Linked DNA regions of Yarrowia lipolytica. The protein of the gene in region 1 interacts with the protein of each later gene in a pairwise test. Links are inferred from orthologs where the notes say so. Each region holds a gene or a part of one and is shown in the gene's direction. Other genes may lie near its edges. The genes, in order: YALI1_D28221g and YALI1_F33791g.

Evidence for each region.
Region 2: the proteins of YALI1_D28221g (region 1) and YALI1_F33791g interact in a two-hybrid assay, tested with the Schizosaccharomyces pombe proteins (2 studies listed by BioGRID). The link is inferred for Yarrowia lipolytica from reciprocal best matches to the Schizosaccharomyces pombe genes orc2 and swd3.

What each region holds. Positions count from the first base shown.
Region 1 is NC_090773.1:2,820,270-2,824,258, forward strand, and holds YALI1_D28221g (uncharacterized protein), read left to right. Parts: upstream 1-1,816; coding exon 1,817-3,346; downstream 3,347-3,989. Other genes in the region: YALI1_D28213g (uncharacterized protein), read right to left, coding at 709-1,002, 1,458-1,496; YALI1_D28242g (uncharacterized protein), read left to right, coding at 3,885-3,989.
Region 2 is NC_090775.1:3,377,395-3,381,016, forward strand, and holds YALI1_F33791g (uncharacterized protein), read left to right. Parts: upstream 1-1,767; coding exon 1,768-2,871; downstream 2,872-3,622. Other genes in the region: YALI1_F33764g (uncharacterized protein), read left to right, coding at 1-331; YALI1_F33790g (uncharacterized protein), read right to left, coding at 482-1,630; YALI1_F33812g (uncharacterized protein), read right to left, coding at 3,083-3,622. UniProt on the Schizosaccharomyces pombe protein: The Set1 complex specifically methylates 'Lys-4' of histone H3.

The sequences.
Region 1 (3,989 bases):
CTTGACTGTTACCGTGACTTGGTTACTTGGCTTCGAATGACATGGATATCGAAGGACCCCTGGAGCAACCGTTGTTTTGCTCTACACCTACCAAGATGTGTGAAGCTCTGTTAAAACCTGGTTTACGCAGTACCGATCAGCGACCACGAATATGTGATTGATATGGAGGCACAGCTAATGTTCCCTGTTTGTTACTGTGAAGAAGCCAGCTTTCTTGAGGTTTTGGACGGCAAACTGGGCATGGGTATTCTGGGGGCTTGACCAGAGCGTGAGCAAGGCGTTCTGAAATGACTCCAAGTCATTTGACAGAGAAATGATGATGGAGCGAACCACTGGAGCGAACCACTTGGGCAAAATGAGCGTTTAGCTCTCCCGATACGATACTGAACTTGGGTAGATCTGGCAACATCCCTACAGTATGTACAGTACGGCCAGTAACATCCGAGTGAACCTCTGTTAACGAATGAATCTCAAACGACTTCTCCTCTGCTGAAGACTTGGAGACTCTCAGGGACACAGGACAAGAAGTGAAGTGTTTGTTACCGAGCCCGGAGTTTGTTTATAATCGCAGGCTGGGCTTTCCCTTCTGTTGACACCTCCATCGATCGGTTCCAGGTCTTCAGTCACTCTCTACACTCAGACAATCAATCATAAATATATTACATGCATTCTATCCTTCCCATAACGTGTTTGGCACGTCTAAGCTCACTAGTTTTCTCTCCACTGGTGGAAACAGGCCGTACATCTGCAAAACTTGGTCATGGGCTCATCCGCAGACCGAATCTGCAACATGTAGAAGTAAGCACCCATGTTGGAACACTTGGGACACTGCGAGCCAGGGTCCTTGTCGACGTTCTCCCAGGCGTTCTCTCCACCGAGAACACTGTCCACCTTCTTCTTTTCCAGGACCTTTCGGTCATACACGATGGTGCCGTCCTGCAAGTAGTACTCGTAGGGACATGTCCGGCACTCGAACCGCATGCCGTTTCCGCTGGTCGACAGCTGAGTTAGTATATGGAGTGTCAATGGTGATTCAGCATGCTTAAGTGGAGTGTGTAACGGGATCAGCAACGAGATCAGTCACGAGATGGGGACATGGTAGATGCGGTGAAGGAGAAAAGCGGACGGTAGATGCGCACACAAATACTTTTAGACAAATCTCAACCTAGATCGAACTCGGCAACCTCTTCTCTCGGGTGTGGTCGATGACTAGCCACTTCATTGATCTGCAAAAAACCGTAAGAGAAGAGTAGAATTGCACATAACTAGTGATAAAGAAGTTTCAAATGATTTCTGACACCTCACCCTCTCTCGCCTCTCGCCCCTCGCCTTTCGCCTTTCGCCTTTCGCTTCTCGTCTCGTCTCATCTCGCCTTCATCCACGCGACCTATGATCTGGTCGTTCCTGGCCCAATCCTGACTCAGCAACCGCCCTCAATATCCCCCCGTCCTACTCACCGTCAACATGTTTGTACAAGTGGGACAAAACGTTAGCATCCTGTGTTTGTGTCGTCTGTGCTGGTGTGAAAAACCAAATAAAAAAGTCTGAAATTCAAAATATAAAAATGGTGGTGGGCGTTTCTCATGCACCTCTGAGTTTTGATCAGTGATTGTCACCACCATTACAATACAATACGGCGCACTAGAGCGACGAGACGGCGACACTTATCCAGCACCGGGGTTCGAGTTCACCAAGAGATTGTTTATCGGTTCCTTTTTAATCTGACCGTTAGAGCATCACCACTGGACGACATACATACCGCAGAGGCGACAAACCCCAGACGGCGCCCGCACCGACTAGTTGTACCATTCATCACATGAGCAGAAGAAAAGCACCAGTTTCGTATTCCGGACTGGACACCAGTGACGTCAGCGATGAGGACTTTGAGGTTGAAGACGAGGTGAGCACACCCAAGAGAAGAAAGACCACGAGTCCGAGAAAACAGACGCCGAGAAGGACGGCGTCGCCTCGAAAGGCACCGGGAACGCCGTCACCGGTGAAACGGTCGCTCCACGACAAATCGGCGCGAAAAAAGGCCAACAGAACACTACTGGATCAGTCTCTGGGACTGGTGAGCGAAGACGAAGATGAAATTGAGCTGGCTGAACGGATCATTGGAGAGAGCCGGGCTCCGATTCTCGACTCGTCCAACGACTTCCACACCGACGAACGGTCGCTGGCCAACGTGGGTGCCCTGATTGCGGCTGAAGACCGCGTTCTGTTCCTGGACTCTTCAGAGGGATACTTTGACCAACACAAGACCCGAGGACGAGGTAACGCCAACACCATGGCCAAGGCGCCTGCCATCGACCACTCCGTCTTCTTTAAGTACACAAACCAGGCCAATGAGCTGTTTCATGCCGACCAGAAGAAGATGCTGCGGCATGCTTACCGCGGAATGTTCTCGCAATGGATTTTCGAGCTTTCGGAAGGGTTTTCGTTGCTGTTTTATGGTCTGGGAAGCAAGAGGGAGTTACTGACTGACTTTGTGTGCGAAAAAGTGGACTCGGAAATCCCCATTCTTGTCATCAACGGATACAATGCGTCTGTCCAGTTCAAGTCGGTGCTCAACAGCGTGGTGGACGTTCTCTACGAGAATCATGAGGACATCTTTGCGAAAAAGGGCTTTGTGGTACGAAACAAACTGCCCAAGGATGTGGATCTCTTGGTGAAACTGGTGGTTGACACTATGCGAGATATTGAAGCTGGTTCAAAGCCGTCGTTGGTGGTCTTGTGTCACAATGTTGATGGCGAGTCGTTGCGGATCGACAAGGCGTCTACTCATCTGTCTCAGCTCATGAGTATTTCTCAAATCTGGTTTGTTGCATCTGTCGATCATATTATGGCTCCTTTGATGTGGGACTCTGCCAAGCTGGCCTCGTACAATTTTGTGTGGCATGATGTGACCACGTTTGCTCCCTACACGGTTGAAACGTCGTTTGACGATCCGCTTTTGCTTGGTAAGAAGGCTGAGGCCCAGGGTGCCAAGGGTGTCAAGTATGTACTTGAGTCGGTCACTCCGAACCATCGAAGTCTCTACAAGAACCTCATTTACTGTCAGCTGGAGGAGTTTCACAATGTGGCTGACAAGAGAAAGCTGCCTGAGGCCGAGGTGGGTGCTCTGACAGGAAGTACGTCCATTTCTGTGGATTATGACAAGGTGTTGACGGAGTGTCTTAACGAGTTGACGGTTTCTAACAAGAAGGATTTCCAGGAGAAACTCAAGGAGTTTATGGACCATAAGATGGTGGTTGCATTTGACGACAAGATGGGCATGAAAAAGCTGTACATTCCCTTTTCGAAGGATGTTGTGCAGCAAATTCTGGAGGGATACCTTGACGCCTAGTGAGGTGAGGTTCACACAAGGCTCAAGTGGGTGTAGGTCATGGCTGCAGATCATGTGGTCATAGAGCGTTCCACTCTGTATATAACAAAGATGTAATACGCAATTGATTTTCATGTCTGCAAGGGAATACTCCGACTAACATTCCCCGAGTTCATGTCAGTGGCTCGGAAGATGGCGTCGCTGCAGCAGTCTTGGAGGCTTGTTTCCGGTTACGTTGCACTGTTTTCATATCCTCACGGCCTCTTCGAATCCCACTCGTCGTGTTTCCATTCTCCGCAATGGCTCCGGAGGAAGGCTGGGGAGTTCGTACTTGTAGGTCTGAGCTACGGATACCAGTTCCAGTTCGACAACATTGTCGAGCATGAGTGGTTGATTCTGTTTGTGTCGACTTTCTGGGAAAGTGCTGCCACTTCGGAGCCTGGTTTGCCCACCAGTTTGAGGACGTGCTCATCTCCCGCCCACAATCTGCCCAGACCCCCGATCGAAGCCTCTAGGCAATCAGTTGTGTGGCCAGTCGCTTCAATGTCAGCTCAACCGGATGTGTAGGAACTTCTCTCTAGTAGCCCTCTTAAGTGATAAGCAGCATCCTCAGACTCCACAGACACAAGTACTCGCCAACAGCAACCGGACTGCCCGAATACAA
Region 2 (3,622 bases), on another chromosome or scaffold:
TCTCGGTATCTCGGAGCTCATCTACCATGCCGTGCTCAAGACCGACCCCAAAGCCGAGGTCCAGATGGAGCTACTTAACAACATTGTCGTTGTTGGAGGAACTACTCTGCTCAACGGTCTGACTGCCCGAATCCACCGGGACATGGCCCAGTTCTTCACCCAGTTCCATGTCAAGCAGCCCTACCTCTCGGTGACCTCCACCGAGCGAAAGTCGCTGGCATGGACCGGTGCCTCTGTTTTCGCTTCTCTCGGCAACTTTGGTTCTTCCTGGGTCATCAAGCAGGAGTATGAGGAACAGGGCGCCGATGTCATTGACAAGCGTTTCAAGTAGAGTAGCTGTAGCTAACGTGTATTATAATGGTATTGGATGTTTTGAATCATGCAGTATGTACTGTATCTACCAGTACGTATCTAGTTACTCGTAGTCTAATGTGTATAAAAAATCTTTGTTATATGTACATCACCTGTAGTTTTTCTTCGTCTACTCCTCGTCAAAGTCAGCCTCCTCAACAGCCAGCTCAACATCATCAAAATCACCCTCATCATCGTCGTCATCTTCCTCATCTTCCTCCTCCTCATCCTCGGCACGCTGCTTGGCTTCGTATTGCTTGTAGTATGCGGCCAGAGCGTCCTCTTCCTCCTCCTCGAGCTTGGGCTCCATATCCTCGGCCTTGACCTTGGGAGCCACTTCCTCCTTTTTAACACCCTCCTTTGTATCCTTCTTCTGGGGATAGTCATCGTCGTTACCAATCTCTGTGAATCCATGTTGCTCCTGGTCGGTATCCCCCATTACCATCTGTCGACCAACAGTAGACTCCATGTACCATGCGGGAAGGGCGTTCTGTTCGGCCAGCTTAGCCTTCTCATCTCGCTGGGCAGCCTCGTCCTCTGCACCCGTGGAAAGGTTGACGGTGAGAGTGGAGCTTTTGTTGGAGCCCGTCTGGGACGAAGTAGTGCCTCTGCCAGCAGTCTTGATAGAAGAGGTGCTTCCTGCAGTGACCTCCAGCTGTGCGGGAACCGCCTTGGCAAGCGACGTCTCAAAGGTGTTTTCGGCCACCTGGATGTCGTCTATCTTTCGTAGCTCGTCTATAATGGGCTTGATTTGCTGCATGAGCTTTTCCAGTCGGTCCTGGTGCACTCTGGATTCGTCACTGGTGGTATCTTCGACAATCACGGTAGAACAGACATCACAGGTGAAAGTGCCGTCCATTTGCACGTTGGTGACGGCCTCGAGGGTAGTGAACTTTTTGGTACACAGCGGACACACGTATCCCTGTGGCTGGGATTTCTTTCCAAGCGCCTCCTCTGCCTGCTTGTTCATGGAGTGCACCTTCCACTTGATGGCATCGATAGTCACAGTGTAGTGGATGTAGTAGTACGTCTTTTGGTAATTTTTGTTGTAGCCGTATGTGTTTTCCTGCTGCTCGCGCTGGGTGTGATCCTTGAGCAGCTTGTCGTCCTTGAGCTTTGCGCAAATCTGTCGAATCTCCTTGGCCGGAATGCTCAGCAGCTGGTGCAGTTCCTCGTCTGAAAGCACCACATGCTTGAGCAGCGCGTCCATCACCAGGATGGACTTTGTGTCGTAAAAGCCTCGTGTAACGTACTGGAGGAGCCGCTTGATGTTGTCCATGCTGTGTTAATTTGTGGTGTTGGTTTTTTCTTGTGCCCGTCCCCGAAGCTGCTGTTGTATGCTACAGTACTGCCTGTTTTATCCCGATCAAAGTTAGTCAAACCGACTGAGAGTGCGTTCTTCCTGCATACTCCAACATGACGACGGATTTCGGCGGTGGCACAAAAAAAGTGAGAACCGAGCAGGAGGAGGACCTGGCGTCGGAGTTTCCTACGAAGCTCACGATAGACGCTCACTCCGCACCCTGCACGACGGCAAAAATCAGCCCAAACGGCAAACAGATTGCAACATGTTCTGCAGACGCGTCTATAAAGCTGTGGGACGCTGCTACTGGAGACCTGATACAGACGCTGAGAGGTCATCGAGCGGGAATCAATGACATCAGCTGGTCGCCTGACTCGAAGATGCTCGCCACAGCTTCCGACGATCGAACGATCCGAATTTGGTCCACACACCGACCTTCCAGTCAGCGTATCCTAGTGGGACACACCCACTATGTGACATGCGTCAAGTTCAATTATAAGGGCAACCTAGTGGTGTCCGGATCAGCCGATGAGAATGTCCGAGTGTGGGACGTGCTTCAGGGTCGGTGCATCATGACCCTGGCGGCCCACTCACAACCCATCTCGGCGGTCGACTTCTCATGCGAAGGAACCATGATTGTCAGTGGATCACATGACGGTCTTATCCGAATGTGGGACACTGCCACTGGCCAATGTTTGAAAACAATTGTCGGTGAAGAATCTTCACCCATCATGTTTGCCCGCTTCACTCCAAACTCCAAGTTCATCCTTGTCTCTAATATGGACTCCACTGCAAGGTTGTGGGACTACATGAACAATAAGGTGGTCAAGACATACAAGGGCCACGAGAATGGCAAGTACTGCTGTCCCACTGGCTTTGTGTATCGTCAGGATCGAGCCGTCCTTTTGCATGCCTCTGAGGACGGTCGCGTCTACGTGTACGATATACAGGATCGAACTGTGCGGGGCTCGTTTGACGCTCATCCGGGAGTTATTATTTCACTGGATGTTATTGATAACAAAATCGTTACCTGTTCATTAGATGGCTCAGTGAAGCTGTTTGAGCTGGTGGAAGAGAACAGCCCAAGTGACGACATGGATACTGATACCGAGGAGAATGGCTGCCGAACCAATAGCAGTGAGGAGCGGGACAACAGCAGAGAAAAGGAGGACGGCAATGGAGATGGTCATGGAGATGTTAGCATGAACAACGACTAGCACTGAATATGGTGCTTAAAACAACACGAAAGGTGCTGTCTACTACAAGCACACAGCATCTACGAATAAGTAATATAGAATAACAGCATAATGACTAAACGTACAGTAGCTACAGTAGGAGTACAGTGGCCACTCGAACGCACCTACATACCCCAGTTCAAACATGAACCGTTTAATTTATTTATATAATGCACTACCTAGTACAAACCACCTACGCCTGGAAAGCAACGTTGTCGACGTTTCCAGCCATGAGAGAAACAATGTTCTCCTCCAGTCTATCAGTAACAGCATCCTCAAGATGCTTCTTGGGGTCCTGCTTTCCGACATATCGAGTCTTGAGCTGGTCCTCGGTCATCTCCTGCTCCTCCTGCACTCGGTTGGTGTACTCAATGGCCAGTTTGACCATCTTCTGTGCAGCGTTGGCGTTGTTGCACTCCTGGGTCTCGTAGTTCTGGATCTCCAGACCAGAGGTCCAACTGCTCTTGTGCAGGTTCTGCAGCATCTTCTCATCCAGGGGAGTTTTCTTGTAGTTGATGTTAATGGAGTAGTAGTGTCGGTTCAGGCCGTGGATCAGGGCGTGGATTGTGGGCTTGTTAAGATGACCCACGTTGGAGGTCGACAATCGAGGCTCCTGGCCCAAAAGCACCGAGTTTGTGTTAATCAGTCGGAAGGCGTCAATTACAACCTTACCCTTGACCGACTGAATGGGATCCACCACCACTGCCACTGCTCGCTTGTTGAGCTGCTCAAA